Rhinolophus ferrumequinum: one gene and its partners. Each later gene encodes a partner of the first gene's protein in a complex. Links are inferred from orthologs where the notes say so. Each region holds a gene or a part of one and is shown on either strand. Other genes may lie near its edges.

Region 1 (10,964 bases):
AGTGTGACCATGTGATATGCTTTGGCCAATAAAATGGGAGCAAAAGTGACATGGGTCACTTGTGGGCAGAAACTTTAAAAGCCAAAATGTGGTTCACAAGATTCCCTTCTCACATACGCGTATCTCAGAGATGGTGCCTCCATCAGCCTGGTCCCTGATGGAATCAAAATAACAGAGCTTCCCCCTGACCTGGAAGTGTGTTAAATAAGATTTTGTTGTTGTTACTTCAACTTAACCCAGTCTATCCCGACTAATGCAGATTTATAGTACAATAACATTTTTAATAAAAACTGAATATATTTAAGGTATACAACATGATGATTTAATATAAGTAGACATAGTGAAATGATTACTAGTCAAGCTAATTAATCTATCCATCTCCTCAAATAGTTACCATTTGTGTGTGTGTGGGGTAAGAGCACCTAAAATCTACTCTGTTACCGTAGCAAATTTCCAATATTCAGTACCGTGTATTAACGAGAGTCATAATGCTATACATAGATCTAGACTTGTTCACTCTACATAACTGCAACTTTCTACCCTTTGACCAATAGCTCTCCATTTCCCCCACCCCCCCATCCCTGACAAGCACCTTTCTACTCTGTATCTGTGTATTCCACTTTTTTAAGATTCCACTTATAAGTGATACCATGCAGTACTTTTTTCCTATGTCTGGCTTATTTCACTTAGCATAATGTCCACCAGGTTCACCCATGTTGTCGCAAATGGCAGGACCTCCTTTTTTCAGGCTGAATAATAGCACAATAGTATTCAGCATTCTAAGCACAGAAACATACAAAACAATACTATCTACCTCACAAAGGTACACATATACCTAACAAAAGGGTAGACTGATAAGACTATACACTGAATACCCTAGAGTGAGTGAATAGTGACTGTGAAAGAAAAGCAAATGGGGGTGGGGGAATAAGAATAAGAGGGAAAATAAAAGAAAAAATGAAAAGGTATAAAAATTATTAAACACATTGTACAAATATTAGAAATTTCATTCACTCAACAATTCACTCAACAAACATTTCTGCACTTATTTATGTGCCAAATACTGTATTCTAGGTACTACTTACAGAACAGTGAATCAAAAATAAGCAGCCCTATGCTTATAGTTTATGGCGTACAGAAGAGAGAAATATTAAAAATACCCTAGGAAAAGATTATTGATAGTGAATGAGTGTCATTAAAAACTGAGGTGCAAGGGTGGCCCGATTGCTCAGTTGGTTAGAGTGCAGTGCTCTTAACAACAAGGTTGCCGGTTCGATCCCCACATGGGACAGTGAGCTGTGCCCTCCACAACTAGACTGAAACAACTACTTGATTGGAGCTGACGGGTCCTGGAAAAACACACTTAAATAAATAAAAGTTAAAAAAAATTAACTTTTTTTTTTAAAAAAAAAGCAAAAAACTACTGAGGTGACATGAGAAAAAGGGATCTACTTTAGGTAGTCTGTGAACATCTCTGAGGAAATGACATTTAAGTAGAGAGGTGAAGATTGCTTCCTTCCTAACTTGAGAAGAGGAAAGGATGATTCAGGCAAAAAGGAACAGCACATGCAAGGGCCTGATGGGAGCACGGATCATCCCACCGAGGAAGTGAAACAGGACCAATGTGGTGGAAGAAAGGAGCAGCAGGAAATGTAATCAAAGAGATGGGGGTGGGAGCCACACAGTGGCTCAGAGTCTCATAGTCCAATATAAGAAGTTTGGATTTTATTCTAACTGCAATGAAACCATGAAAACATTTTAAAGAGGGGAATATGATCTTATTCCCAATTAATTTCATTCCAACACTTAGCACCCTTCCAATATGATCATACGTTTTTTGCAAAACCTGCAAAAGAAGTATTTTTGTATTCATTTTCTTCAAGCACCTCCCAGAACCTGCATAAACTTCAGGTTCCACATAACCTAGCTCTGTCTGAACGGGTTAAGCGCTACGTTCAGACAAGGTGCCAGGGAGCCACAGAGAAGCAATCTTGCCAATTTAATACCAATAGTTCTTTACTGTCAATGGATTTTTTTCTTCTTTAGTTTACACTGTATGATAGAGTTCACAACTGTGCCCTGATGGAATCACAGAAATCACGGTAACAGTAGCTTTGCTTGAGAAACACTCTCAAAGGTGAAAGATGAAGATGTGTACAGCTTCTAATACCAACCCTTGTCCCATTAGTGCCAGAAAATGTAGTGGAACAGTCCCTGTTTGTCTCAGGCAGCCTACACAAAGATGCCTCCTATTGTAACACAGCAATGAGTCATGGAGGTGGATGCAGATGGCACAGAAAACTAAGCAAGGGAGAGTCATCCAGAAGCAAAGGCACCTTAACACACACACATATCCACCGGAGGAATGAAAATTACCTTCCAGTTTCCTTCAGCCTTCTCAACATTTATCCAATTAACAAAGGCACTAACTAACGTTTATGGAAGATTTACTACCATGTTTCCCCGAAAATCAGACCTAGCCGGACCATAATCTCTAATCCATCTTTTGGAGCAAAAATTAATATAAGATCCGGTCTTATAACATATAAGACCCAGTCTTACATTAAAATAAGACTGGGTATTACATTATATTAGACGCGGTCTTAAATACTATATTAAAATAAGACCGTGTGTTATACTAATTTTTGCTCCAAAAGACGCATTAGAGCTGATGGTCCAGTTAGGTCTTATTTTCGGGGAAACACGGTATGTATTAGCTTATTTAATCTTCACAACTACCCTAAGTCAGTTCTATCATTAGCCCCATTTTCACAGATGAAAAAACTAAACCTAAGCCTTAAAAAGACTAAAAGATTTGTCCCTAGTCACAAAACTACAAGTAACACAGCCAAGTTTCAAACTTAGCCTAACTCCAGAGTCCAACCTCTTAACCACTGTTTAGAATCTCCCAGTCCCACCCAAATTTTTCTGCCATCAGCTCCAGGGTAGCTTCTTCTTTTCCTCTCTGTATGATTTTCTGTTAATGAAATTTCCTCCCCTTTGCAAGAATACAACTGTAGTGTCACAATTAACAACAGAATGAACAGGTACTTCTACTTAGTACCTTCCTCCAAATCAAATAGGAGCAGAATGATCAGGTCACAACATTCAGCCAGAATTCACTCTGTTCAAAACAAAAGGTCAAAAGTTAGTCCTGAAAACAGTGACAGTTACTAAGGAATCCCCTGTCTCTGGGGGTTTTCAATCTGTTTTAAGGGGATAAAATTCTGTACACTAAAACTAAATGAATGTTTGCAAAGCAATGCACTGACCTGTACAAGTCAATATCATGCAAAACAGACACTAGGGGATTGAAGAGGATTTGTTGGGAGCAGGTGTGAAGAACCTGGCTGAGCTCACACCACAGGTCCACTACTGGCCTTAGGATCATTACAGAGATGGACAAAGTCACCAACAGGTCCCTGGACTATGAAAATCTAGAGAGGAAGGAAGGTTACAGAAATCACCGAAGGGCAGAAGGTTCAGGACTGCTCCATTCACTTAATCAGCTAGCTTCCTAAAGTCTCCCGTGTGCAGGTAAAAGTATAAGAGCCAAATCTTTCCTGGTTATTTCTCCAGCTAGCAGGGTCTCTCTCCCCTACACAGTCGTTCCTGTACCTCACCCCAAACCAAAAAAATTGGGGGAGCTCAGAAACCCCCATGAAACAATCTCATTATAATTTAATGTAATCGAGTGCTGGTTCGTGAGCAACCCTGGAAGCTGCAAAGATGGAGCATCTTGTGTGTAGTATTCGTGGCCCTGGTGTTCCTGTGTCAGGAGTGTGGGGATCACGGGGAAGTAACAAATGCCAGGAGAGGCACTGGTGAGGAGTGATTTGCAGAATGCAGGAATGAATGAAAGAGAGAATGAAGGAATGAATGAAGTCAGATGAAAAGGAAAGCCGCTCCCTATCAGACCAGATGGTTTCCAGGAAGAAGGGCAAGGACCAGGAGCCCCCAAAGTCGGCGATGGAAGAGCCTCACGGGGTTGTCGGTGTACACACGCCCCCGCTGGCCAGGCAGCGGGCCGGCAACCAGGCATTCCCGGCCCACAGGTGTCAGGCACCTAGGTGAGGATGCTCTAGTTGGTCCCAACTCCACTCCATACCCTGAGCCAGTCTCCAAGATGCAGATAACATCTTAATTCTTTCCAAGAATGTGTTCCCTTCTCCCCGTTACAAGTCAGAATCCCAGAGGATCGAATTCAGAAAACAGCGGGGGGAGGGGGGCGGGGCGGCGGGTGAACCAATCTTTCATTTTCTTGTGGCCAGGGATGACTGAAGGGGTCGGGAAAGAGGGGAAAAATCGAGACTGACTGGCCTGAATCCGGAGCACAATCAGTGCTTAGTCACAGATACCACGGCAGCCGGGAGTTCCTCGCTCCTGCCATTCCGAGACGTACGTGACGAACTCGAGCGGAGCTCGGCGCGCGGTGCACAAGCTCCTGCACCCCCTCGGGGACCTCGCCAGCCCAGCCTGGCGGTCGCCGCCCACCCCATACTTACTCCGCCGAGCTGGTGCCGTTAACCGCGGAGCCGTCTGGGGCCGGGTTCAGCTGGATGGGCGTCGGCTTCTTCTTGGGCATTTTGAACCCGGGAAAGGCGCTTCCAACTCCAAGGGGAAGGCGGCCCCTCTGCTTCCTCCCTCTGCGCTGCCCCGCGACCGCCACGCGGGGCCAACTGGGAGTCGCGGGCTTGGGGGCTGCTTTCGAGGGGGCGCGCCCCGCGCGGTCCCCTCAGCGCCGAGGAGCTGGTGGCGGTCTCGCGGGACCCCCACCCTAACTCGCCCAGGGCTCGGCGCACAGGGAACCGAAGGGCTTCCTCGCCGGCGCAGTTCGGCAGCCCGGGATTCCTTCCCGCTTTCCCTCAGTCAACGGGTCTCCTCGGGTTCGAGCGGCTCCGCCGAGCGCGCACCAGAGCCCTGCTCCAACCACAACCCAAGAAAGTACCGCCACCGCCGTCGCCGCGCTTCTAGCCGCTCCGCGAAGCGGTCCCTGGGAGGGACGGGAGGCGGGGGAGGGGTGGGGAAGGGGGAAGCCTCGCCCCCCGCCCCCCACTGGGGCTGCTGCCTTTTCCACACACCCACTCGGCTCCGCCCCAATTGCCTCGCCGACAGCCAATGGGAGCAAGCCTCGGAGGCAGATGACGCGGAAATACGTCACGGGGGCGCGGCGCGCTGCCCTGGGGGCGGAGTCCGGCGCGGGTTCCACAGCGCCCTCTGCTGACCGGAGGCAGCCAGGTAGACCCTCCGGAAAAGGACGTCATGCATCCTGGTTCCCCCAGGGAGCCGTTGTGTTGAGTTTATTCTGGACGGTACCCTGCTGACTCCTCCTCTGTAGTGACTGGAGCCCCGGGACTAAGTTACATTGACAGAGATGAAATAAAATAAAATAAGGTGAAGAACCCCTTCTCATGACAAGAGGAGAGGCAAAGTGGGAGATTAGAAAACTTGTTGAGAGACTCCTTGTGCTTAACAATCTGGTATATATGTACATACATACGTATATATTATATATATACATACAAACATATATATATATATTATATATATATTACATACATATATATGTAATACCACTGATCTACCGATGAGGGTACAGTGAGATGAATACTCAGTATTGATAAGGTTGTAAATTGGGGCAATCTGTTTGAGAGCAGATTAGTAATATTTTTTAAAGCCTTAAATAAAAAACCCTTTCATCCAATAAGCCCAGCTCTATGAAACTTGAAGAGTAAAGATGAGAATAAAAAGCTTAAGATAAAAGAGGCACAATGCCTACTCAAATATGCTCATCCAGTTTTCCCCTTTGTCCTTGCTAAAGTAATCCTAAAGGCATTAGGTGTGCAGAAACAAAGTAAGCATCTACAACTGGTGGTCCAGAGCAGGGTGTCAGCCACTCAAGCAGGGAAGGAGGCTGTAGAAAGCAGAGAGGGTGAGGAGGGCGTGCCCACCAAGTAGGCAGCCCTCCACTAAATCTTGTAGCCCTAGAGCCAAGTGGAGAGGCATGGAAGCTTAGATGGGGGCCTAAATATGATTAAAGATAATATAGCCAGATTTCTCACTGTGGGAAAAAGAAGTTTCAAATCAGGAAAGGAAGGAAAGGGAAAGAGAGAAAACCCTGTGGTGTTGTTTTGGAATTGGAAGTATTGATGTGAACACATAGTTTTCAATATATAGGAAAACATGTAAATGTATGCATGTGTGTGTGTAGATGTCACTCTGTATTCATGTTAAATATGCCAACTTTTCATATCAGAGTAAAATAATAAACATAAAAATTAATTGAAACTAATTTTTTCAGAACAATGTATATTGAGGAGCAAGGCAGGCTATCTTAATTCTAGCACAGTTTTATATTTACTAGTGCAAATGAATACTGGTGGAATTTTGACAAATCGATTGAGCTTTTCAAGGCCTCATTTTCACCCTGTGAAAAATATGAAAGTCCTCCAATACGGAAATATTATGATTCTGTGAATGCTGCTGAGGGTTGGCCTCCACTGAGTGGTATTTCTAAACCCTCACTGTAGCTTGAGGAGTCCAGATCAAGAAATGCCCTGGTGGTTTAAGTTTGTTAGAATAGCCCAAGATAGGAGTTTTCCTTATTTCCATTTTAGATAGGCAGTGATTCATCAATCCTGTCAACTTTTCCTAAGTGCCTAACATAAGTGCTGACCATATAGACAAGAATAAGACTCAGATATATGTGTGTGAACTAGTGATTACAATGTGATAAACACTATGTATTAGCCTGGACCGTATGGAGTTGCCGTTTGTGCGTGTAAAAAGTGCTTAGATTTTGGCAATTTCATATGGTTCATCCCATACGTACATATCATAGTGAGATCACAAATGTGAGGAACCAAGAAATACAAGGTCAACCAATGATGAAAATGTATCATGAACTGAGAGCTAGGTTTAACTCGGTACTCTATGAGGTCCAAAATCAAATAAAAGAAAACAACAAACAAACAGAAGAGCACGAATTTGAGAAAAAATGACCTGGATTCATTCCAGTTCTGCCTTGGACTGATTATTTTCTTTCTGGCCTCTGCTAACTCATCTATAAAATGAGAATTATACTACCTACTGTACCAGATTGTTATGAACATTAAATCAAATTGTGAAAGAACAGTGCCCAACATAGAGGAACTAAATAAATGGTGCGAGTGGTGGATTTTCATCATGTAAACATAATCTGACGGAAGGAGAATAATTAATAGAGGCTTTCTGGAAAAAATTTTGATTTTCAGTAGTATTCACACACTTTGACTCAGTAATCCCACTTCTATGAATCTCCTGTAAGGAAATTAGGAAAGCTATGTACCAGAATGGTATTATTTAAATAGCTAAAATCTGAAACCACCTAAATATTCAACAAAAGGGAAATTATTACATCATTTATGATACACCCATATGATGGAATGTTGGTCAAGAAAATATTGGCTTTTCTCTCCAGAAATTTCAATCAGTAAGCAATTTTTTGGACAATCGTTCTGGAATGTTATCTATTTTCTTACCAAGGAAGAGAAAAAGTGACTTGCTTAGTATCAACCTGTGTTTATGTAAACACTCAAATAAAAATGTAAGTGGAATGAGCCAGCATTGGGCCACCACCATTTTTGGTAAAATATAATAAAGTATGTAAACATCTGGGAAATGTCCAGGACTTTCATTTACATAGAATATTCAGTACAAGGCTTAGGGACAACTGACTGGCCATTTGGGAAAGAAATGAAGGTGACTCTCTAGTTTACTCCTATGTGAAAAATGAATTACAGGTTCATCAAAGATGAAACCATAGAAGTTCATCAGAAAGTCCATCAGAAAAGGAACATCAGAAAATAGTTTTTTAAAATTTGGGATGGAAAAAAACCATTCTAAGCAAGAACAAACCCCAAAAACTATAAAGGTAAAAGATTGATAAAATTAACCTCAAAAGCATTTAAAATTTCTCCATGGGGGAAAAATGCTTTGTACAAAGACATAAGTACACAAGTGAGATCTTGAGAAAACAAATGATTGCAATATATATAACAAAAGTCTAATTTCTTGACTATAAAAACAATTCTTAAAAATAAAGAAAAAGAAAAAATAAATAAATAAATAAATAAATAAAAATAATAAATAAAGAAAGAAAGAAAAAGGACCATCTACCCAACAGAAAAATGGTCAAAGCACATGAATATACATAGTTCATAGAAAAAGTAATAGAGTTTTCAAATATATGAGAAAATGTTCACCCTCATTTAATAGAGAAGTGCAAATTAAAATTAGATATCACCTTTCACTTCTCAATATCAAGTGTGTGTGGGGAGGAAGCACTCTCAGACACTATTGCTAGGAGTATAATTGCTGCAATCTTTTTTTTTTTTTGCTGCAATCTTTTTAAACAGCATTGTGGCACTAACTTTTTTTTAAAGTCCCATAAGTGACCCAGCAATTTCACTGTTAGGATTTTTCCCTACAAATTTACTTAGACATATGTCCAAAAAAAGATTCTTTAAAAGCATGTTCACTGCAATATTTAAAATCTTTTTAAAAACTGGAAACAACTCCACTATCGAGAGGAGAGTAAATTATGGAATGCAATTAAATAAATTATCATACATTTGTACAAAGAAGTACTATCCAGTCATTCAAAGAGAATTAGATAGACTTATCTATGCTGGTATAGAAAGATCTCCAAAATGTGTTATGTTACAAAAGAAAAAACAGAGTAGAACATTGTGTATGATGGTCCTATTTGTTATAGGAAAATGGATATATTTACATATATGCTTTATATAATAGAAAATTTCTGGAAAGACACAAAAGAAACTGTTAACCGTGGTCGCTTCCAAGGAGGAGCCCTAAGAAGTCTGGGGGTAGACTAAGGTTTCCTTTTCGTTTGGTATTGTTTGAATTTTTATTATATATAACTTATTCAATTAAAAACAACATTAAACATTTTTTAAAAATATTAAAATGGGAATGTAAAATAGTACAGATATTCGGAAAACAGTCTGGCAGTTTCTCAAACTGTTAAATATAGAGTTACTATATGACTCGGCCATTCCACTCCTAACAATATACTCAAGAGCAATGAAAATGTACATCCATACAAAAACCTGTACATAAATGTCTATAGCAGCGTTACTCATAAAAGCCAAAAGGTGGAAAGAACCCAAACGTTCATCAACTGATGAATGGGTAAACAAAATGTGGCATATTCGTACAATGGAATATTACCCATAAAAAAGAATGAAGTGCTGATCCATGCTTCAACATGAATGGACCTTGAAAACATTATACTAAGTGAAAGAAGCCAATCACGAAAGACCATGTGTTATATGATATATAAAATTTCCAAAACAGGCAAATCAATAGAGACCAAAAGCAGATTAGGGGTTGCTTAGGGCTTGCTGGGGCAGGTGAATGAGTGATAGTAGGATGATAGCTAAAGGGTATGGAGTTTCTTTACGAGGTGATGAAAATGTCCTAAAACTGACTGTGGTGATAGCTGCACATCTTTCTGAATTTATTAAAACTATTGAATTGTACACTTTAAATGGGTGAATTGTATGTTATGTGAACTGTTTCTCCATAAAGCTGTTATTAAAACAATAGCAACATGAACAAGGAAATTCAAGGGAAAAATAAAATATAGTCAAGACGGTAACGAAGAACAAAGCTGAAGGATTTACACTATCAGATATCGAGATCCATCTAAAGATTGAGTATTTAAGACAATATGGCACTGGCACAAGGACAAATAGGCCAATGCAGTAGAATAGAGAATCTGGAAATCAACCCATATGTATTTGATCACCCAGTTTATGACAAAGATGGCAATACAGTACCGCGGGGGGGAAGGATGTTCTTTTAATAAATGCACTGGGTCAATTAAATATCCATATGGAAAAAAATAAGTCTTAACCCCTACTTCTCTCTTTACATAACAAATCAACTCTAGATGGATTATAGAACTAAAACCTTTTTTGAAGAAAATATTGGAGAATATCTTCATGACAGTAGGGTAGGCAAAGATTTCTTAAACAAGACACACACAAAAACACAAATCATAAAGGAAAAATATGATAAATTGGACTATATTAAAGTTAATTGCTTCTGACCCTCAAAAAGGGTAAAAAAGAGAGAAGACATTTGCAATGCATATATTGCAAAGAGAACTTATATCCAAACTGTATAATATTAAGAACCCCTACATATTAGCAAGAAAAAGACAGACAATCCAATAAAAAAAATGGGTAAAAAGACTTGCACAGGCACTTCATAAAAGAAGATATCCAAATGGTCAATAATCATGAAAAGACGCTGAACTTCTTTAATTATCAGAGAAATGCAAATTAAAACCATAATGTGCGTACTTAATGCCGGCAACCTCTATATATAACACAGGTGTATTCCACTTATGATTTATGTACTTTTCTGGATGTGTGTTTCTCCTTCAATAAAACAATTACTAGAGAAAAGAAAAAGAAATTCACAATAAGACTTTTTTCCCTCAGAAAATGGGACAGGATGACCAAAATGCATTTTTATTTGTTCTGTTTTTCTTTTTAAAGTGAAAGAATAACATAGGCCTTTCTTACATTAAAACATTTACGTCTTCTGAATATTTTGTTTTTGTTGCAAATTTTGTGGATTTTTAAAAAATTATATAACTAATACCAGCTTATTGTGTTAGGAAAGAAAACTAGAAAAGCATAAAAAAAGATCAGAAAAACCATTCTTGATACATTACTCAGTGATAACTTCTGTTTACATTATGAGCTCCTGTATTTATCTTAGCCATACTCACACACTGTTGATAGTATAGGGTTAGTGAATTTTATGATATTATCAATTTATGAGTTTTATTTTAGAGGCACGTCCGTATTTGCCTCTTACAATTTAAGATCTTTTATTCTCTTACTATGACACATTCAGTTGGGATATTCAAAATTTAAAAAATGTCTAGT
Region 2 (10,252 bases), on another chromosome or scaffold:
TGCTATATCTGAAAACTCACAGGGCATCTTTCCGTGCTTAATTTGTAAAGCCAGCATAAATCACTGGACTAAATTGTCCATTACTGCGCGCTCGAATTATCTTGTCATCAAGAGAGTGATCTGGTTGTTTTGCTCACACTGGAAAATTAAGAGACAAAGAGGCAAAAGGGCAAAAGGAGAAGAACTCTAGACAAAGTCAGTTTTCTGATGTCGGAAAAACTTCACAAGGTTAAAGATAGGAACGTCCTGTCTGCACTCATCAAAGGTAGTTTTTAAAAGCCATTTATGTTTAGAGTTAGAACAGAACAATAACAATCCTCTCGCAGCTCGGAAGATTTGGTTGTTACCCGAGGACTAGTATTCAGAGGTATTTTTTTTCTCCTTAAAGAATTAGTAGAAAAAAGAAACAGAAATGCTTTGGGAAAGCAGTATGTTGAGCCCTTCAAGAAGTCGGCCTCAGTTTTGTTCAGTTTCAGGCCCACTGGCCACTCCTCTAAACTGCCATTGCCTAATTTGGGTGCCTAGTCACAATGCAACTTAGAAAACACTGGGGCCAGCTCATTGCTAATGTGAAGGACGTGGAAATATGGACTGAGACTTTTCCTGACGACCCAGAACTTCAGCTAAAACTTCAAAGGTGAGGGCAGTGGGTAACAGTACTTCCCCCTGCTGTTAAGAGGTGGCCAGACTGGTCCTTTGACCGTCAATAACCATCAACCTCCAGCCTATATAAGACAAAGTCAAGATTTTATCCAGAGGAGGTTTCTCTGACAGGAAACCCCTTTGTAGCAGGGGTTTCTTCTCCCCTCCCAATCTCCAAGCCAAGAGAGGAAGGTGAAAAGAAGAGACTGGGCACACCAAGGTAGAGGGGTGTGTGTGGGTGTGTCTGGCATCTCACCGCCGGCTGAAGGCTGCCTGCCTAGGGCTGCCCATGATAACAGGGTGAGGATGAGGGCAGCAGGACAAAATGCATCCTGTTTCCCATGGGCCAGAGCGTATGTGCTTACGCTTGAGTCACCCTGAAAAGACTCACGCAAGAGGACAAACTGCCAGGCAAGGGAAAGTCTGACAGAGGATGTGGGAGTACTTCCGGGGTTTTGAATGTAAAAGGGGTGTGCAAGCGGTCACCTGGCAGGTCCACTGAGTCTCTATAAGGTCCTCAGGGAATCTCCCAAGAGGCATTCCATGTAAAAGAGCCAGCATGTGAGTGCTTGCCAGGACACTGGGGGTGGAGGGGGTGGAACCTCTGGCACTCAAGAGAGAATTATACCTGTACTCACCTGTTCTTAGCATAGGGTCCCTTTTCCACTCATTCCTCTGCTCCTGTAACAAGGTGAGCTACAGAGGAGGCAGGAAAGGACACACCTGCCCTAGTCTCCACTGCAGATTGCTGCGCCATTTGTGGGTCAGGCCAGAAGGGGCAGGGAAGAAGGTAACAAACTAGATATGAGGAAGAAGGTTTGATTGCACTAGACTAGACTTCTAATACCCGAATCCGAGACTGTTCTTACAGTTGATTCTAAAAGCTATGGGATCTAATGAGACATTGCCAAGTGCAGCGGATGTAGTGGCCCAGTAACGATAATTTATTCCCACTATTGATAAAGCCATTCTGAGACATGCGTCATTCAGAGGTAGGTAGTACACAGTTTCTGGGATGCCATACAATAACAACACAGTTCTCATCAGTTAGCTCCAGTTTTCCAAGCTTGAAATTGGTGAGGTTCTTATTGATCTGAGGTGCCAACCACCATAAGCCATACCAGGGGCAGCAAATGCAGGAAATAAGAATAATGAATGATGGGGGCTGAGTTGGCACCTGGTGAACTGGAGAGCCTGTGCCCCACCTGAAAGGGATAGCTTTCTCTCGCATCTAGTCACTTCTTCCCGACTGTGGCTAGATGTTCCCATTTTCCCGGAAAGGCCAGAAATCTCCATTTTTTGGTTGCATCTCCCGATTTTGGAATTATTGCCAAGAATATTAGCCAGGGTTCCTTGTTGCAAATGATACAATCTACTCCAGGTAGTTTAAGCTTTAATCGGGCAGTACCCTGGACTGAATTGCGTCCCCCAAATTCAGATGTGGAAGCCCTCACCCCCAATGTGTCTTTACAGCTTTTAGGAGGCAATTCAGATTAGATGAAGTCAAAAGGGTGAAGCCCTAATCCAATAGGGCCACGGCCTTATAAGTAGAGGAAGCCACATGAGCCATGTCTGCCATGTGACGACACAACAGGAAGGTACCATCTGCAATCCAGGAAGAGAACTCTCACCAGAACCCAGCAATGCTGGTACCTTGATCTCAGATTTCCAATCTTCAGCCCTGGGAGAAAAATTTCTGTTGGTTAAGCTGTTCAGTTTGTGGTATTTTGTTATGGCAACCTGAACAGACTAAGACAAGTGGTTAGAAAAACCAATAGAGTCTCTAGGCAGGGAGGAGAGCCAGGCTTAGGCTGCGCTGCCCAAATGATGCCCCAAGCACACCATGGGGCTGCCCCTGTAAACACCATGCCAGGCCTCTCAGCACGAACGCCAGTCTTAGCCACGGGCAGGACACCTGCACGCAGGTACACTGACTGCCATGGTCACAGTCAGGTAGATTCCTTCTCTTTGTTGCTACCACTGCAGTAGGACAGAACCTAGATCCCATGAAACCTCCTTGCAAGGAAGTTTCTGGAAAAGTGCTTTGGTTTTACTTATGGCGAGATGGGACTCATTTTCCAAACATAAAAAGGATATTCAAAGAGGGCTGGCTGGGTGCAAAGCATAACAAATGTCCACGATAGCAATCAATTGACAAAAATGGGGGTGGTGGTGGTGGTGGCGGTTACAGCACTGCCTGTTGATGACTTCTGACCTATGGGTTGCTTTCATTGCTTCAACTTCCTCTGAAAACAACTAGAAAAGCCAGACCAAATCATCACCATCATCGTCATCATCTACTTAAAGGCACTCAGAGAGCTGGGAAACAACCAGGACTAGAGGGGCCAAGGTTCTGGAGAGAGAGGAATTGTGGTGAGATGAGCTGACATTCTGTAGCCACTTTTTCCTGCTGGTGGGGGACAGAGACACCAGCAGAACCTTTGGCAGTCTCAAAGGGCTGGAGAGATAAAACTAGGGGATTTGAGAGGCTAATATCCTAGGGAGAAAGGAGGGGCAGAAAAGTGAGCTTGATAGTTGGTGGTTTCCCCTTAAGACATTTGGCAAATTCTGAAACAGTGCTGGCCAAGAGACTAAGAAGCCAAGCAGAAAGTCCCTGAAAAAGAGGGCAGTGTTCAGCCTTGCCATATTATGGAGATAAGGATTAGAGCTCAGCACTGGGAGGGTAGGGGCTGCCGTGAACACCTAAAATTCTCGGTTGGAATCCCTGAAAGGCAAAGCCATAGAGGTGGGGACCCAAGGTAGGTGCTGTCTTATGAAAACTGCAACCCAGCCTCCTCCCAGCTCAGCCTCTGATTGGATTAAGATGGTCAGTCCCCGTGCCATCTGTCTTGCAGAGAAAGGGTGAGCCTTCTCTGGAATTAGATAGCTTCACCTGGAGACTCTCCATATTTTTTTTTCATGCACAGATTGTATGGCATTCAACAAACATTACATGGCTTGCTAAGAGACAGGACTAAATTACTGAAGACAAAGAGAAAAATAGTCAATAGAAACAGACCCCACAGGTGACCGAGGTATTGGAATTAGACAAGTGTTTTAACCTTAATATGTTCAAGAAAAACAAAGCAACCCCCCCCAAAAAAAGAAAACAAAATGGGAAAAATAGGTGAAAAGAGAATTTTATCAGAGAATTGGAATTCATAAACTTCATAGTCCAAAAGATTGAGAACACATAGAACTCCCTTGAGCTTCTCATCAACAGAGGGATTTTAAAATGCTGCTTCAGCTCCGTACGAGCTATAAAACCCTATGGCCCACAATCTATAAAAAAGTTTGCCATGACTGGCTGTCGTTCTCTCTACTTCTCCAGTGACTTCCTTGAAGGGACACCTATTGTACTGTATGTTCTGAGTCTACTCTGGCCCATAAGCCCAGGTCCCTGGCGTGGAGCCGTGTTCACCTGGATAAAGAGATGCATTTTGCTAATTATCCTAAATACATTCTTTGGGCAATGTGTGTTGGGACTACGATTAGTCAAGATGGTCAGGGAGATAAAACCTCTCTGAGATGACATTTGAGTTGATGACACTGAGTGATAAAGAGCCAACCAGGAGAGGATTAGAGGGAAATGTGGTCCAGACAGAAGGGACGTAGAGGGCAAAGAACTCGGAGGCAAGAAGATGTTTGGTGATTTCATTCGAGTCTACCAGCTTTTCTGTAAAGGTCCAGATAGCAAATATTTTAGGCCTTGCAAGTCTTAACAGTATCTGTTGCAACTATTCAATTCTGCTGTTATAATGCAAAAGTCAACACAGACAATAAACAAAAGGGTGGCAAGTGCTCCCTTTTTATTTATGGACACTGAAATGAGAATTTCTTATAATTTTCACATGTCAAAATATTCTTTTGATTTTTCCCCCCAACCATTTTAAAGTATAAAATCCATTCTTAGCTCTGGGGCCATAGTTTGCTGCTATAAGGTTGGTTAGGTAGGCTGGGATCAGATTACGCAGGACACATGGGACATGGTGACAATCAGGTTGAGGTAAAGCCTCTTTCCCTTTCCACTTGGAAAGCCACCCGTCAGGGGAACTGCAGATCGGGGTACCAGTTCTGGGAGGGCAGCTTCCTACAGCTCGTGGAAGAGCATAGGTTCCTTTTATTTTTTCCCCCAGTCACAAGAAAGGACAAACGAACAAAAAGACAGGCACGCGCGCACACACGGAGCCAGAAAGCCAGAGAGGACGTGCCCAGGTTCACGCGGACGCTTCTCCAGCACGCACTGAGCGTTTTAAAGTTGGGCGCACACCTGCTCCCAGGCAGCGCGCACCTGCTGAGCAGCACTGCGTCCTCGTCTCGCGAGAGCGGGGCTGTAGTAGTGGCCCCCACCCCCCCCCCCACCAAAGCCCTCTCCCCGCCCCCCTGCCCAGCCTCCGCGCTCTGGCACACACGCTGCCGTCTCCACCGCCCCCGGGAGCAGCGCTGGCCCGCCGCGCGCGCTGCCCCCGCGCCCCGCCCGCCGCCCGCTCGCACGCACGCCGGGTAGTAATTTCACTTTGCCACGCGAGCTCCGCATCCCCTAGAAATCCCGCCCCCCCGCGGCCCCTGGGGAGCCGTCCCTTCCCCGGCCAGGTGCGCGAGCTCGCGCGCGCCTCCTCCGCCGCCTCCGGCGGGGCCCTGGCGCGCCGGGGCCGGGGCCGGGCCGGCTGGGGCGGATGCGCGCACGGCGCCTCTCCACCAACCCGCTCCCCTGCAGGTCCCTCGCTCGCTCTCCATCCCTCGCCGGCGCTCCCTCGCTTCCCCCGCCCTTTGATTGACAGGCAAGATGTCGGTGTGGAGCGAGGCAGGAGCGAATGCAGCAGCCGTCACCCCCGGAGCCCGGCGGCGGCAGCGACAGCAGCAGCAGCAGCGCGAGGAGACAGCAGCCAGCCGCAGTCGCCGTCGCAGCCGCGGGAGCAATGCGGACAGCATCCTGAGAACGCGCTAAAGCACCCCAAACAGTGGACAATGCCGTGTCCCTGCAACTGGGAGAGGGGCAAACCAGATTTTTTTTGACATAAAAGCCAACCAGCCAAAAATATATAATTTTGCCCTTCACGGAGCCGGTGTGTAAAGAGTGAGCGCTATTTTCCTTCTTCTCCGCCTCTCCCCCGTCCTTGCCTCCCCCCTCCTCTTTTTCCTCCCCCCCCCCCTCCCGAAGTGTACGGACAGCATCACATCACCTGGTTTGCTTCTGAGAAACAGCATCTCTCCTTTTCAGGGACCAGAGACTCAGAGAGAGGAGACGTTCTAATGGAGTCGGCTTGATACCCCAAAATAAAATAATAAATTTTGGCTCTTGTCCCCTCCTCCCACCCCCCCCCCACCCTGTGTGAGATGTTGGGTTCCTTCTTCATGAGACATTGTTGAGAAGTCGCAGTGGTTGGAGAGGCGTGGGGGTAGACTACCTCTACTCCCCCCCCGCCCCCCTTTTTTCTCTCTGAGAGAAGGAGGAGGGGAAGGGGGCTTGCAGAGCAAGCGATGGATGAGGAAAACATGACGAAAAGCGAGGAGCAGCAGCCTCTGAGTTTGCAAAAAGCCTTACAGCAGTGCGAGTTGGTCCAAAACATGATAGACCTGAGTATCTCCAACCTGGAAGGGCTTAGGACCAAATGTGCTACCTCCAACGACCTCACACAAAAAGAAATCCGGACCCTGGAGGTAGGTGTTGCTTAGGGATGGGGGCGTGGGGGGCTGGATGGGGGAAAGCAGCCCTGCCTTCCCTCCCCTTTCTCCCCACCGTCCCCTTTCCTTTGATTCCGTTTGTTGGGGGGTTGGGGGTGGGAGGGTAGCAAGAGGGGCACGATGTGGTTTTCTGTGATTTATCTTCTTGCAAAGCCTGCACTGGATGTCCCTTTGCTGTACTGCTGTCGTCTACGCTTGGCTGGGTGGTGGTAGTAGTAGTAATTGTTATTCTTTATTATTATTCTTGCGGCTGTTGTTATCATTCGCTTCCTCTCTGAGGAGTGAGTTCTCGCTCTTTTCCGCTTGTGGATTTGTTTATATGCCACGGGGGTTTGTGTGCTGGGTAAGACATTAGGGCGCTGCAGAGAACCCACGTGATCTTCCGCATTCTGCAGGTGGTCAAAAGGTGGTTTTTGCTCCCGGAATGGGGTTGCCTATAAATATAGACCTCCTCTCCCGGCCTCTTTCCCAGCCCCTGTTTGCTCCCTGGATTTCGTTGTTTTCTGTTTTCTTGGTTTGTTTTTTTTCAGTGATATACATGTCAGGAGGCAAGATGCATTTAAAAAAATCCTCACTGAGCTACCCATGTCCAGTCCAATCATTTTGATGCAGGGAGCTGTTGCAGGCCTAAAATGTGTAGAAAGATTTTAAAAAACCAAAAAACAAAAAAGCTTGGTTCAGCACACACAAGGGGTGTGGGAAAATACTCTTGAATCTCGGTGGGATAGCAAACCAGGTGATGCCCTGCTGTCTGTGCACTTGGGGAGGAGGAGGAGGGAGGAAAGGGGTCGGGGGAGGAGTTATCTTTGGCTGTTGTAACATTCTCTCCAACAGAACTTGAGGGGGAGTTTGAAGCAGTTTTGTGTGGGGGGGTGGGGGTTGGGGTAGATGCAACGTTACTCAGAGAGAAGATGGCAGAAATTGTTTCTTCCGAAGGCCATTTGGTCAAAGGAGGATGGTTGCAAGAGCCTTAGAAGATGCCTGGTGTCTACCCAAGCGTTGGGCACCCACGTTGTTTGGAACATCTGAAGGGCCCGACTCACTTCCCTCCCTTGAACTGGCCCAGCTGTACACATGGCTTGATTAAATTTGGGAACTCCCATTAGCTGGCAGTTGCAGAGGGTGGTGACAGTAGGGCTGGGAGCAAAGGAAAGAGACTCTTCCTGTGGTGGAGTGGGCATGTGCAGTGCTGGCAGCTTCACTGTTGGCAGCCCATGGCTTTCCCAGGTCTGAACTCGTCAGTCCTTACTGAGTCCTTTCGCCCTCCTGCCCCCGTGCTAGTCTGGATGAGCACCCACTGATTCCCGTGCACGTCTTTTCCCTCCATGGTTTTAGATTTGGCTGGATGTTAGAGGCAGGAAGGTCATCAGTTGGAAAATAGAGTTAGTGCTGTGTGTGTGTGTGTGTGTGTGTGTGTGTGTGTGTTGAATATGCTGTTTGCTACCCTAGAATACATGTCTCTGTGCACCTGTCACCTGGGAAAATAATCCTCAGAAATGAAATAAGATGAATGTCAAGGGGTGTCGGAGGGCTAGAAATGCTGTGGGGAGGCCCACGTAGTTTCTTCCTTGGAGCTTTGGGAGAGCAGTGTAGGTTAGGACTCTGCTGCTGGGAGAAAAAGTATGGGATGCCCTGAGCCAGCCTTCTGTCTGTCTGAGCAGTGCCCAAGATCCGACTCTGTTCCGAATGGCATGCCGTAAATAAATAAATAACCCAAAGGGCCACCTGCGGCCTCTCCTCTTCCTCTGAGCCGGGAGTCCCACATGCTAGTTTGTGGATTGTTGTGTAAAATTCTCCTCTTTGCTTTTCCTCTGTTCAACATGCTCCACCCTCTGACAACCTCTGGACAATGGGGATGGTCGCAGTGGACCCTGGATCTGGTGGCTGCTTTTCTGCATGGTTGTTTTCCTTTTAAACGGGGTGGGGAGGGTGGGGTTGGAGATATTGGTATGTGAGGCGGGAGGTTACAGTTATTGGGACTGCTCTGACCCGGTGTACCTCAGAGCAAGCCACCAACCACTCCATCCATATTGCCCAAGGAAGGGTCTCGAGCAGTGATGCCAGTTCAGGCTTCCCAGATTTCTAGGGCTAGAGTGGGGTCACTGAAGATGGGCTGGTGACTCGGGGGGGTCCAGCCAGGTGCTGCCAGACTTCACTTAGGCTTTGAACCCACAGGGTGGTGGTTGTTTTGTTTTTTTCATCCCAACAGTTGTCAAAATTTGTATGTGAAAGCTACTCAGGGAGCTGCTTAAAAATGCACGTGCTTAGCCTTAACCCCAGAGGTTCTAATTCAGTGGGCATTGGAGGGGGCCCAGGACTCTGCATTAATGAACAGTGCAGCTGTTTATGATGCATGTTTTCATACTGACACTTTGAGAAATAGAAATCTATTAGGAGATAGATGTCATTTCTCAGCTATTTCATGGTAACAACTTACGGCTCCCAAACACTAAATAAAATATTAAATCGAACAGCCCATCCCTGAAAACCTGGGTAATAAGCAAAATTTACTAAAATGCATATACCCCTGTAGAAACAAAAATATACAACATGGATTTAGCTTTCAGGAAGCATACTTCATGGTTGGAGAGGCAAGGCTTATAATATATATGTGAAATAATGATGAAATCCAAACAGGTAAAAATATAGGGAAAAGCCTGTGGGTCCACTAGGAATGTGTTCAGCTGCATGAAATGGAAAATCCAATCACTGTGGGTAAGCAAACAGTGGCTTCTTTTGCTCGTGTAACAAGAAGTCTGGTGGTATCCAGCTGCTTGAGTTGGCTCGGTAAGTTAATAATATCAGGGCTGAAGTCTTTGCAAATTCTCATGGTTGCAAGATGGCCCCTGAAGCTTCAGCCGTTACACCCAAGTTCAAGGTACGAAGGAAGGGAACTGGGTGAGTGTGAAGGCATAACGGGTTCATATCGTTGTTTGGTTCCCCCAGGACACCTCCGCCTCCCTACCCCACAGATGATGTGTAATTATATCTTCTTGACCAGAACTGGGTCAACTGGCTAGTGCTAGCTGCAAGGCTGGGAAGTGGAGAAGTGGGAACACTTATGATTAGTTTGATGGGTCATGATCTGTTGCCTTGGTTGACCTGTTGCCATTCATACAAAATCAGGGTGCTGCTAGCATGGAAGAAGGCGTGAGGGATGTTGGGTGGATAGCTAGCACATCGGCACGGTATGTTTTAGGGAGATGTTTTGGTGGAGACGAAAGACCATGAATTTTGGAGTTAGACTAATGCAGTTTGGAATTCTAGCTTTTCTACTTTACCTTGGGCTAGTGGTTTAATTTTTCTGACCCATGGTTTCATTTCTGGCAAAATGGCAAGATTACGTACCTCAGAGGTGGTTGTGAGGATGAAAAGAGGTGACATTTTCAGGGGTCTAATGCTATCTCTAGCACTGTTCCTGCAGATGCTAAATAAATGACAGCTACTATGATGGCATGATTAACATTACATGGTGTGGAGTCTATGACATTGAAGGGAACAGCTCAGATCAGAGGGAGTGAAGAAAGGACTAGAGCAGCCTTTCCAAAGTATGTTCTGTGGATCCCTAATTCTGTGGAAGATTAGCGTTTTTCATTCTTTCGACAAATGCTAAAATCCACGCACTGTGTTAGATGCTGGTGGTCAACAAGTACTCTGTAGATGAAATGAATTCCATGGTTAATATGTTTGGAAACAGCTGAGTTAAGCAAAGAGAAACATGTGTCTTTACTGCAGGACTTTTCAGAGCCTTTACTATGCCCTATACATGTATGTTGTGACTTTCCAAGAGAGGATAGAGTCTGCAGTCTCCTTTTTTACAGGGATATCTCTTGGGATTGATGTTCCATGGAACACACCTGGGGAAATATATGGCAAAGCAGTTAGGGAAGTGGTCCTGGTTGGGGACCTGGGGACTCTGAGTGGA
Region 3 (10,853 bases), on another chromosome or scaffold:
TTTTTTTTTTTTTTTTTTTTTTTTTTTTTTACACTGAAACACGTGTTAAAGCTTGTGGGCCAGGCCTATTTATTTTATTTCTTTCATCCCACCCAGCCACCCTGGAGGGAGAGCTTATTATACTTCTTCTTCTTCTTTTTTTTTTTTTAAAGGTTTTTTATTGGGGAAGGGGAACAGTTCTTTATTGGGGAACAGTGTGTACTTCCAGGACTTTTTTCCAAGTCAAGTTGTTGTCCTTTCAGGCTTAGTTGTGGAGGGCGCAGCTCAGCTCCAGGTCCAGTTGCCGTTGCTAGTTGCAGGGGGCACAGCCCACCATCCCTTGTGGGAGTCGAATAGGCAACCTTGTGGTTGAGAGGGCGCGCTCCAACCAACTGAGCCATCTGGGAGCTCAGCGGCAGTTCAGCTCAAGGTGCTGTGTTCAGTCTTAGTTGCAGGGGGCGCTGCCCACCATCCCTTGCGGGACTCGAGGAATTGAACTGACAACCTTGTGGTTGAGAGCCCACTGGCCCATGTGGCAATTGAACTGGCAGTTAGGAGCATGGAGCTCTAACCGCCTGAGCCACTGGGCCTGCTCCTATTATACTTCTTTTTACAGAGGAGGAAATATAAGCTCAGAGAGATGAAAACTTTTCCTAGGTCATATAGAGTCTGCGTGAGTCCACGAAGCTCACGATCCAGTTAGGGAAATAGACAAGCCGAGAACCAAAATATGTGATGTGTGCCAAGTTCTCTGGGACGGTGGAAGTTAGAAAGACTGATTCTGTTGTGGGTGGGGTGTGGGGGGCATGTAAACCAGACCTACGGGCTGAGCAGAAGTGTATGTGGGGACATGGGAAAGAAGCAGAGCAGGCAGAAGTGACAGCCTGAGCAAAGGCACAGTGACATGATACTCCACAGGTGGCCCAAGGTTGTTGAGTAAAGGCAGCGAGGACCAATAGTTAGGCAGGGTTCCTAAACTTGACTACAGTCCTGGGGCTCATGGATACCCTCCCGGGGGACCACAAACCCCCTGACATTGTATCACTATTGTGAGTGTGTGTATTAGTCTTTCTTGGAGAGACATTTTTAATTTTCATCAGATTCTTAAACTGAGACATGGACTCAAAAAAGTCTTGGGGAGCAGAGGAGCTTAGAGCGGATGGCAGGGCCTGGGAATGAAGGACCTTGTAGGACTTGTTGAGGAATTCATGCTTCACTCTGAGGTCAGTGGGGAAGCCGAGGGGTTTTTTTTTAGCCGGGAAACAACACGGGAAGGGTCTTAGGAAGACAACACAGGTTACTGTGAACTCACATCCAAGTCTTTTATAAACGATAAAGGGATGTACTGCTTACTGCCCTATTCCCGGAGTCTAGCACAGTGTTGAGCATATATTGGGGGCTCTGTAAATGTTGAATGAATGAATGAATGAATGAGCACAGGTATATGTAATAATAGAGTGCCTCTCTCCAGGGTGATGCCACACATTTCCTGGACAATTTAACTGAAGGTGAAATCCAGGAAACCAAAATTCCCCCTGCAGTGTCCTGGGTTCTTAGAGAAATCTGCTGAGTCCTGATATGATGCTGGGGGTGGAGATGGGAATAGGACAGGGACTGTGGTACCCAAGGTAGGGCTCCCCTCACAGAGTCCTGCGGTATCTCTGGAGGAGCAGAGGCGATATGGCCAGGATAGCTACCATCATTCCTTTCCTCCTCCCACATTCAACCCATCAGCTTGTCCTGCTGACTCGGTCTCCAAAATGTGTCCTCCATCCCCTCTCTTTCTCCATCATCTCCTCTCCCGTGCTGCTCCTGTTCCCGCACCTCCATGGGCAGCAGTCTCAAAATCAGCCACCCCCCACTCCCCCGCTTCTGCCCTGTCTCTCTGCTATCCACTCTCCACGTGGTGGCCAGAGGGATCTTTTCAAGCACTTCCCTTGCAAGGAATGTGGCTTTCTTCCCATGTCCCTAGAGAGCTATGCTTCTAAGACTTCAACATACATCCAAGCCATATGGGGATCTTGCTAAAACCCAGGTTGTGGTTCAGTTGACCTGGGGTGGGGCTTGAGACGCTGCGTGTCTGACCAGCTCCCAGGTGATACAGTAATCTTGGACCACGTGAGGAACAACACAGACCTAGAGAAAAATCCAAACTTCCTGCCCATGTCCTCCTTTATCTGGCTCCTGCCCAGCAACCCCACGTCATGGCCAACCCCTGTTCTTCTCTCTCATCACACTGCAGACACACTGGCCTTCCTTCTGTTCCTGAGCCAAGCTGTTCCCGCCTCAGGGTCTTGGCACGTTGTGTTCCCATTGCCTAGAATGCCCCTTTCTAAGAGCTCCATGCGGCTTGCTCTTTTTCTTTATTTAGATCTTAGTTCAACAGTTAGTCAGAAAGTACTTCTCTGACCTCTTTGTCTAATGAGCACTTTATCCTCTGGGAACTTGCTATGGCTATTTGCTTAACCCCCTTCGCAGCACTGGTCATTCTCTGTATTTATTTTAGTACTGTCTTTGTTGACTTGTTAATTTTCTGTCTCTACTCTCCCATTTGTTCCATGTGAATAAGGACTTGGTTACCTTCACTCTGAGCCTATTCCAGAGCCTGGCACATACATGGTAGCTTCCCTTTTCATGTTTGTGAAGAATGAAACATGAACATGCTTGCATGGCTGCTGTGTTGTGGAGATGTAGGAAGGGGAGTCCATCCTAGGAAAACTTAACTGCGATGCTACTGGAGGTGCCTGAGGCAGAGGGGCGGAGGAGGGAAGGAGCGAACTGTCTGTCCTAAGGGAACCACGGAAAGTCTCACGAATCTGGAGCTGAAATTGAACCTAAGAATCAACACGTAGTAGATGAATTCACCTAACTAGAAGAGACTCACTCTGGAAGGTGGGGAAGGAAAGTAATGAACAGGAATTAAATGAGTGACGTAAGGCATTTGGTTGGAACAGTGCTTCGCACACAGTACTTATCGAATAAACGACAATAATTATGTTGAACCTTTACTTTGTGATCATCACTTTGCATAGTCATCTCCATTTGTCCTCCAAACATATCATCTTCATCTTGCAAATGAGAGGGACTATGAGATTAGGGGGCTTGCCCAAAGTCACATGGCGATTCAGAGACGGAGCTGAGAACCCCACTCCCTAAAACAGCTCTGTTGAAGTTGCAAATGCTGCAGTTCCTGTCCCCCTTCCTTGCTTTATGCTGCCATAGCACCTGTTACGACCTAATACACTGTGCATTCTACTTATTGGTTTGTTCTCTGTCTTCTCTCACCAGACTATAAATTCCTGGTTTAGTTCACTACTGTTTCTCAGAGTCCAGAACACAGAGGCCTGCCGCATAAGTAGACACTTAGTGAATACTTACTGAATATTAAAAGGATGCATAAAGGGATTATTTAAAAATCCTTGCTTTCTGCATCTCCAAGAGGCAGTTCTGTAAACATGTGGCTGCCAGGACACCCAAACCCAGTAGAGAAGGCTCGAGTGTGTCTGAGATGAACCGGGAAGGAAAGCTGTGGCTTACTGCATGCTTTCAACAAATCAGAAGGAAGACTGTGTCCACAGAAGAGGAACTGGCTACATGAAGCCTGGTGGGACAGCAGCCAGGGAGCTGGGGTTTGCCCAGTCTCCAGCGCTGACTGCCGCTTGCCATGGTCGGTGTGGATGCCACCGGCAGGCAGCGGTCTTCTCAGGATATGGCTTTCCATATAAAGTGGCCCCGGGGGAAAATGTGTTGACCAGGCCTCTATGGCAATTACAAGCTTGATGTAAAGGCATAAATCGGCACTTAATCAGGAAATCTCTCGGGAATTGAGTTACCACTAGTGAGTCAGTTGCTCAAGCCTGGCAGCTCTGACTGCTGACCAAATAGAGGTTCTAAACCAGCCAGGCTGCGCTGTGAGCCTACTTACCTGACATCCCTCTGTGCCAAGGCTCCTCAAAGTTCAGCACCCTAGACCAGCAGCATCAGCATCACCTGAGAACTTGTCAGAACACAAATTCTCCAGCCTTGTGTTCAATCTACCGAAGGGGAAACTGTGTGGGTGCGGTCGGTCACTGTATTAAGGAGCCTTTGATTTTTGAGCCAGGAGATTTTGATCCGCTGTCAAGTTTGAGAACCACTGTCATACAATTTCTCTTTCAGGGCAGTTATTACTCTGCCTCATGGGGGAGGGTGGGGTTAAGGGAACAGTCAGGGTTGGAGGGTTTCATACAGAGACACAGCACGCGGAGTCCTGTTACAAATTAAGTGAGGATTGTATCAGTGGTTCTTGGTGGAAAGGCTCAGGAATTGGAGAGGAATTGGGGCGGGAGGGGGGCAGTGGGGGCGGGGAAGCCTCTTGTGTTTCAGAAAATTTCCAGAGGAAGGGTTAGTTTGCAAAAGCACATTTCAGTTATCATGGTTTTGTTTTTCAGACCTTAATATTTATTTCAAAATTTCAAATGACATGAAAGGAAGGTGTAAAATAAACTGCCAACCAGTACTGACTATATGTATAGTTTGTGCAGGAATATAATGCTGGGACCCTACCTTCTGTCCAATTCTCATTACCCACCCCCCCAAAAAAAAAAATGAAGAGAGAGAGAATTTACTAATCTGGCCTGAGAGATAGGAGAAACAGAAACTCGGCTTAGGACCTGCCTGAAGAATTAATGAAATGGGTTGTGCAACTTTATGGAGTGCCTACTGTGTGCCATACACTGTATTTGGCTCTGTGAAGAGGATACCAAGATAATTTAGCTAGCCACTTGGGCAGCCAAGGAGCTTACGAGAGAAAATTCAGAGAGAGAGTTCCTCTGGTTGGCAGATGTTGGAAGTATGGATGTGTGGGACCTTTGATCTGTGTCTTGGCTTTTCGGTTTAGCCAGATCATAGAGCACATGTGAACCGGTAGGAGATGGGAGGGGAGTGTGGGAATGGTGATTTGATGGAGATTGAATGCTGAGTGAGGAGGCATAGAAAGGCTCAAACAGACAACTACTAGTCTAGAAGGGGTACTGTACCCATTCCCACTGCTGGGGTCTGGGGCTACGTTTAGAAGATATGAGGTTAGATAGTAACAATTGCTGACATTTACCCAGTAACTACATGTGGCAGCAATCAATCTAAGTGCTGTAAATACATGAACTCAGTCTTCATATGAATCCCAAGAGCTAGGTACTATTATAACCCCATTTTTACTGATGGGGAAACTCAAGACCCTCAGAGGTGACCTAACTTTGACAAGCCACACAGCCAGAGAGTGGTAGAGGCTGAATTTGAACCCAGGCTGTCGGCCCCAAAGCACTCCCAAGGGCACGACCAATCAATGTACCGCCCCAAGCGTCTGGGCTGTCCTGCTGGGTTGGGGTGGCAGAGATGGGACACTTATTCTGGAGGGTAAAAAGGGTCTAGAAGAATGCCCTTCAGTCCTTCTTCATGCGTGAGCATTTCCTTTAACATAGACAATCGGGGGTCCAGCTTTGAGAAGCCTCTACAGGACAAGCACTTTAGGCCCCTTCCCACTAGATGGCGGCCCCTAAACCCACACAGAAATTCTGGAACCTCCACTGTCCCCATCTTCCGTGGTTTGGCTGCGGCTGAGGAATTGCAGGATGCAACTCCTCCTCTGGTTCAAGGGGCCGTTGGCCCCTGCCCCGCCCCATCCCGGGGTCGCGGGAAGCCCCCAGGATGGAGGCGAGCGTGGGGGACAGAGGTGGGCGGGGAGACGAGGCTCCCCGGGCTTTGGGCGTCCCGGGGAGGAGTCGGCGCGGAGCAGCCACTCCCGGGACACAGAGGCGGGTGCTTCCACACCGCCAGCGCCCACCGCGGAGGGGAAGGCCGGAACCGCGGTGCTCCAGGCGCAGGGCGCGGGCTGGGGCTCCGAAGGCGCGGGCCGGGAGGCAGGTGCGCGGCGTGGACTACAAGTCCCAGCATGCCCAGCTGCCTTGACCCGGCCCCTGCTGCCACTTAAAGGCTCCGGGAACCGCAGCCGTCGGGTCGCCGCGGCTTTCGCTTTGCCGCCGCGGTTGGGCGGGCAGGAGCCGTGAGCTCGGTCGCCGGCTCTCCTCGCGTCCGGGCTCCTGCACCGCCGAGGGGCGCTCCTCGTGCAGCCCTCCCGGCTCGAGGATTCCCTTCCGAGGCGCCCGCGTCCCCGGGCTCCCCGCCTCGGCCACCCCGCGGCCCCGATGCCGAGGCATGGATAGAACGGCAAGGCGCGCGGCGGCGATGGGGGAAAAGAAGGAGGGCGGCGGCGGGGGGGACGCGGCGGCCGCGGAGGGGGGCGCCGGAGCCGCGGCCAGCCGGGCGCTGCAGCAGTGCGGCCAGCTCCAGAAGCTCATCGATATCTCCATCGGCAGCCTGCGCGGGCTGCGCACCAAGTGTGCGGTGTCCAACGACCTCACCCAGCAGGAGATCCGGACCCTGGAGGTAAGGCGGCCGCGACGCCAGAGGGTAGGGGACCCGGGCTGGGCTGGAAGAGACCGGGGTCTGCAGCCTGGGACGCGGCCCCCAACACTTCCCTCCCTGCTCCACTTCACTCCTTTCCCAGTTGCATCCTTGAGCCCGGGTCGCCCCCCTTTGAGGCTTCTTCCCTCCTCCATTCGCTGATGCGGCGGCTTGAGGACCCAGGACCAGCCCCTCTGTGCGGGCTTTTGGGGGAGGGGCGGAGTGGGAACTAGGATGCGGACTCCGGGAGACGGTGGGCGGGGTGGGCTGCGCGCGGACATCCCCTGCCTCCCCACCTCCGCCCCCACCCCATTTGCAGCTTGCGGGGCCGCAGGACTCATTCTCTCACTGAGTCACACGCTGGACTTTTCCCTGTGTGACTTAGCGGAGCAGCCGTGGGCCGGGGTGACGGGGCGGGGGTGGGGGGGGAGGTCCCCCTGAAGTGTGAGCAGAGGCCCGTCGTTCTCTGCTTTTCCCACACGCCCCAGACTGCCTTTTCCCTTCCTTTCCTCTCCTTCAGGTTCTTGTCTGCCGTTTTCAAAAAGTGTTGCTGAAACTGCATTTTTGCTCTTCAGGCATTTGGTGCTTTCGTTTCGCACTGCCACAGCGTTTCACTGCTCAAACCGACTCTCCCCACTCCCCTCCAAACATTGGATTTTAGCTTAGGAAGGATTATGCTGGAGAACGAGCCTTTGGTGAGAAGATGACACTATTTAAGGGCTTCTGATGGAGACAGCCTCCAGTGTAAAGAAGAAATAAGATATACCCGCCCTCCTCTCTCAAATTATATCTGTGGAAGTGCGGTATTAAAAGGATTTGGAAGAAGCAGCCAAAAGGGTTGTTGGGTTCTCTGAAGGGGGAGTCTCCCCCTCCCCCATACACAATAGAGGGAAACTGGTGCATTCCCAACTTGCTTTTGTCCAGAGGCTGGGAAGGCTGTGGAAATCCAGAGACCAGTTAATAGGTAACTCCAGCTTGAAGAAGGGGCTTCACCTTGCATTGCCACATCTGGCCTTCTGCACATCTGGCGATGTTTTGTTTTATTAGAACGGTAATTTCACAGCCTATCCCCCCACCCCCTTATTGCTAATTGCCTCTGCCAGCTGTCATAGGGCCAGCTGGTGATTTGTGGTAATTATTACAAGACCCAGTCCTCTGTGCACACCACAAACCTGATTCCCCGTTTGATCTAAAATGCTCTGGGGTGAGTTTTTCAGTTTTATTTTCTTAAGCTATAAAACCCGGACATTGGAAGCATCCAATCAGTGCTGGCTATTATTATTTTTGTTACAGTTGCTATACCATTACTGACCAGGGCTTTGCTTAAAAATAAAAACCAACCAACCAACAGCACCCCCCACAACTGTCCCTTCTGCAGGCATGCTGCTGTTTTGCAAGTGGTGAGAGAAACTGGTTTCTTAAACACAGCCCAGTGTGTTTGCCCAGCAAAGTTCAGTTTTTAAACCAACACAATAGGGGGTCTGTGAGGCTTAGTTCCTGGAGGAGGGGTCGTTGTCCAGCAGCATGTGCCTGGTTGGACCGCTGTGTTGTTGGCATGAGAGAACGTTCTCTGTGTTGGCCTCTCTCAGATTGTCCCCATGGCGGTTTGAAGTTCTCCTCGTTTGCAGAGTGGCTACAGGAGAACCATTTGCTGCTTGTTCTCTGGAAATGGCGCTTTGCCCTCTTGATACCCTGACTTCCAGAGTAGCTCATTTTGACCAACGTGTGGCGTCATGACACCCCAGAGCATCCAGCTGTGTAGGTCTCTGAGCTGGTTTATTCAGTGGCCTCCCACCTGAGTGTTTATGGGATGATCAAGCCAGAAACCCATCTGAAGTGCATTTGCAGTATAAATGGGAACCAGCTCACTGTCTTCTTCATTGTCATGTGAGTTCAGGTCCATGCTACTTCTTGAAGGAGGGACCCAGGTTGTTGTGAGGATGGGAATTGAGACCCCTGGAGCTAGTTTGGAGGCCTCAGCCTCCTCACCTGAACAGGGGGGACGGTGTGGATCTCTGGGTTCTTGTGGCTCTAAACACTGTGGTTTAGTGAAGGTGCCTCAATTGGGCTGAGTCAGTGTTTGTTATACATACCTCTGTTTAGGAATATCCCTGTTTAATAAACAAACAGACTCATAGACACAAACAACAGAATGGTGGTTACCAGAGGGGAAGGGGGTTTGGGGAGGACGAATAAGGTTAAGGGGAGGTCAAATACAGGTGATGGAAGGAGACTAGACCTTGGGTGGTGAGCACCTAATAAGAGTGTACAGATGTGTTTTGTAGTTGTATACCTGAAATTTATTAATCAATGTTACACTAATAAATTTAATTTTATTAATGTTACGCTAATAAATTTAATTTTACAAGACTAATAAAAAAAATGAAAAAGAAGTATATTCCCTGTTTAAGAATGGTTCTAAAGTCCAGATTTATCAAACTGTTAAAATAGGGGGGAAGTTGATTACTCAAAGATTCCGGATGATAGGGGCAGTATGGCAGATGGGATAGCCCATGGCTTTGATTTCGGGTCCAGGTTCTGTCTGTGTGACCTTGGGCAAGTCCCACGACTTCTGAATCTCAAGCTTCCCCATCTGTAAAATGGGGATGAGACTGCTTGAACCTGTTGTGAGTCTGTAAGTCCACATTCTTCCTACTAAGTGATGCTGCCTATAAACTTTCCCTAGCGAGGATCCAATGGCGTTCACGCCACAGGCCACCTTTAGGGGAAGCTACTTCATAGCTGGCTCTTATTTCCTAGTGGTGGGTGACACAGGCCCAGAAACCATCCCAGCAGCATGGGGCAGTGGTGATGTCCACTCTGGCTTTCCTTCCTGTTCTGCAGGATCCTCTCACATACCAGGGCCAGGGCCCCCAGAGAGACAGTGCTTGCAACACTGGATTCCTGGCTTTTGGAGAAGGGACTGACCAGAGGGCTTGGCTTACGCAACTACGCCAGACTTCTCCCAAAGTCTTAGGAACCCCAGCCCACTCCGGCCCTCGTTAAATAAGCATTCACTGGGAAAAACATCACGTGAGATGCTCCTGGAAGTCCTTGACCCCAGGCCCAGCTGCTGGTGCCGGAGACTGCAGACTGTGACAGTGTGCAGGGGTCAGCGTGCCTGGCTGCCTATGATGACTTTCTCCACAGAGTAGTCCAGTTTGGATCCAAAAGAGTGGAAGGAGCCAAAGCTTAATGTTTGCCTCCGACCTGCCTACCTGGTGCTGGTCGCTTCTCCGTCTGATGAGATTTCCTGGAAATCCACCAACGTTCATGACACACATAGTTTTTCTCTTTACGTGGGAAAGGGGAGGAAGACAAAATTTGAACCCAGGGTCTGAATCTATAAACAGAAGTGGTGAGGCTACTTCATCCCAGCAGCACCTGGTACCCCATCTCACTCAGACCCTCTGAGGGGTCTGAGAACTCCACTGAGACAGCATAGAGTGTTCTCATTCATCAGATATGCTCACGTGGGGATACCTAGCTGGCTTCACAGCGGGGCCTGAAGCCCCACACCAGTTCATTCCCTCATGTATTCATCCTCTTTGGGCCGATTCTGTGCTGGGCGCTGGGGAGACAGTGGCCCCTCATGAAGATTCCCGTTATGTGGACACTGCAGCGTTGCCCTTTTCTGCCAGCCTACTAGTACTTTCCAGAGACAGGCCTCGCCACACCAAGTCTCGCCACCTGTGCTCTTCTAGAGAAAAACCCTAAGCTGACAGGGAGGAAGGGTCCCCAGAGAACCTTGCCCCTAGGCCTCACGCTGGAGGGGGCATTGGGGAGCTGTAGTAGTTATTGTCTGCACACAGGCCACTTCTCTGAGGAGTTGCCAGGAGGTAGCTGCTGGTACTGGGAAGAATTGACTTTCACTAAGCTCAGCTGTGGCAGACGTCAGAAGCCTGCTGTGTGGAGGACCTGAGCCCTCCCTGTGGCCCCCTCCCCATGCCCCCGGAGCATCTGGATAGTGGCACTGCTGGGTAAGGAGTGGAGTGCCCTCTATCCTCACAGATCAGGTCCTGGGGCAGGCATGGACATGTATTCACTTGACAAACCTTCAGTTATTACTGATTTGCCTGCTGAGCTCCTAGCGGCAGCCATTCTGGCAAGGATTCTGAGGTAGATAGGTAGGATGCTCTCCTGGTTTTCGGGGACACTTTCAGGCTAATGGGGGAGCCAGGCAGGCAAACGATAGCAACTCCAGTACCCTGGCTTGCTAAGAGTGCTTAGGAATGGGAATATGACTGAACAGTTGGTCAGTCCAACCTCCTAGTTTTACGGGAAATATCCCAGAGTCTGGGTGGTGACTTGTCCCGAGTCACACATCCCTGGCAGCACTGACAGCGCGACCTGGTTTTCCTTTCCCCACCCAACCACTGCCTGGGAGTGAGGGCTTTCTCTGCTTCCTCTCCATCACCATAGTTTTAACCTCC

The links.
Region 2: the proteins of MAP2K1 (region 1) and KSR2 are in contact, whole or in part, in a crystal structure (PDB 7UMB), measured with the Homo sapiens proteins. The link is inferred for Rhinolophus ferrumequinum from reciprocal best matches to the Homo sapiens genes MAP2K1 and KSR2. Residues at the interface, in NP_002746.1 of Homo sapiens: Val81, Glu102, Met219, Ala220, Asn221, Ser222, Phe223, Val224, Gly225, Thr226, Arg227, Ser228, Met230, Arg234, Leu235, Gln236, Gly237, Met308, Ala309, Ile310, Phe311, Glu312, Leu314, Asp315, Val318, Asn319; in NP_775869.4 of Homo sapiens: Lys674, Arg818, Asp820, Lys821, Leu822, Arg823, Ile824, Gln825, Asn826, Ile837, Arg838, Gln839, Leu840, Ser841, Pro842, Gln877, Pro878, Ala879, Glu880, Ala881, Ile883, Trp884, Gln885, Gly887, Thr888, Met890.
Region 3: the proteins of MAP2K1 (region 1) and KSR1 are in contact, whole or in part, in a crystal structure (PDB 9AXH), measured with the Homo sapiens proteins. The link is inferred for Rhinolophus ferrumequinum from reciprocal best matches to the Homo sapiens genes MAP2K1 and KSR1. Residues at the interface, in NP_002746.1 of Homo sapiens: Asp217, Ala220, Asn221, Ser222, Phe223, Val224, Gly225, Thr226, Arg227, Ser228, Met230, Arg234, Leu235, Gln236, Gly237, Met308, Ala309, Ile310, Phe311, Leu314, Asp315, Val318, Asn319; in XP_011523731.1 of Homo sapiens: Asn767, Gln768, Leu769, Lys770, Leu771, Ser772, His773, Leu776, Val784, Arg785, Met787, Thr788, Pro789, Asn823, Gln824, Ala825, Ala826, Glu827, Ala828, Ser829, Ile830, Trp831, Gln832, Gly834, Ser835.

Annotation. Positions count from the first base shown.
Region 1 is NC_046289.1:44,579,708-44,590,671, forward strand, and holds the start of MAP2K1 (dual specificity mitogen-activated protein kinase kinase 1), read right to left. Parts: upstream 5,101-10,964; 5' UTR 4,586-5,100; coding exon 4,506-4,585; intron 1-4,505. UniProt on the Homo sapiens protein: Dual specificity protein kinase which acts as an essential component of the MAP kinase signal transduction pathway.
Region 2 is NC_046308.1:11,441,151-11,451,402, reverse strand, and holds the start of KSR2 (kinase suppressor of Ras 2), read left to right. Parts: upstream 1-5,929; 5' UTR 5,930-6,123; coding exon 6,124-6,303; intron 6,304-10,252. UniProt on the Homo sapiens protein: Location-regulated scaffold connecting MEK to RAF. Has very low protein kinase activity and can phosphorylate MAP2K1 at several Ser and Thr residues with very low efficiency (in vitro).
Region 3 is NC_046304.1:19,618,285-19,629,137, reverse strand, and holds the start of KSR1 (kinase suppressor of Ras 1), read left to right. Parts: upstream 1-5,935; 5' UTR 5,936-6,171; coding exon 6,172-6,402; intron 6,403-10,853.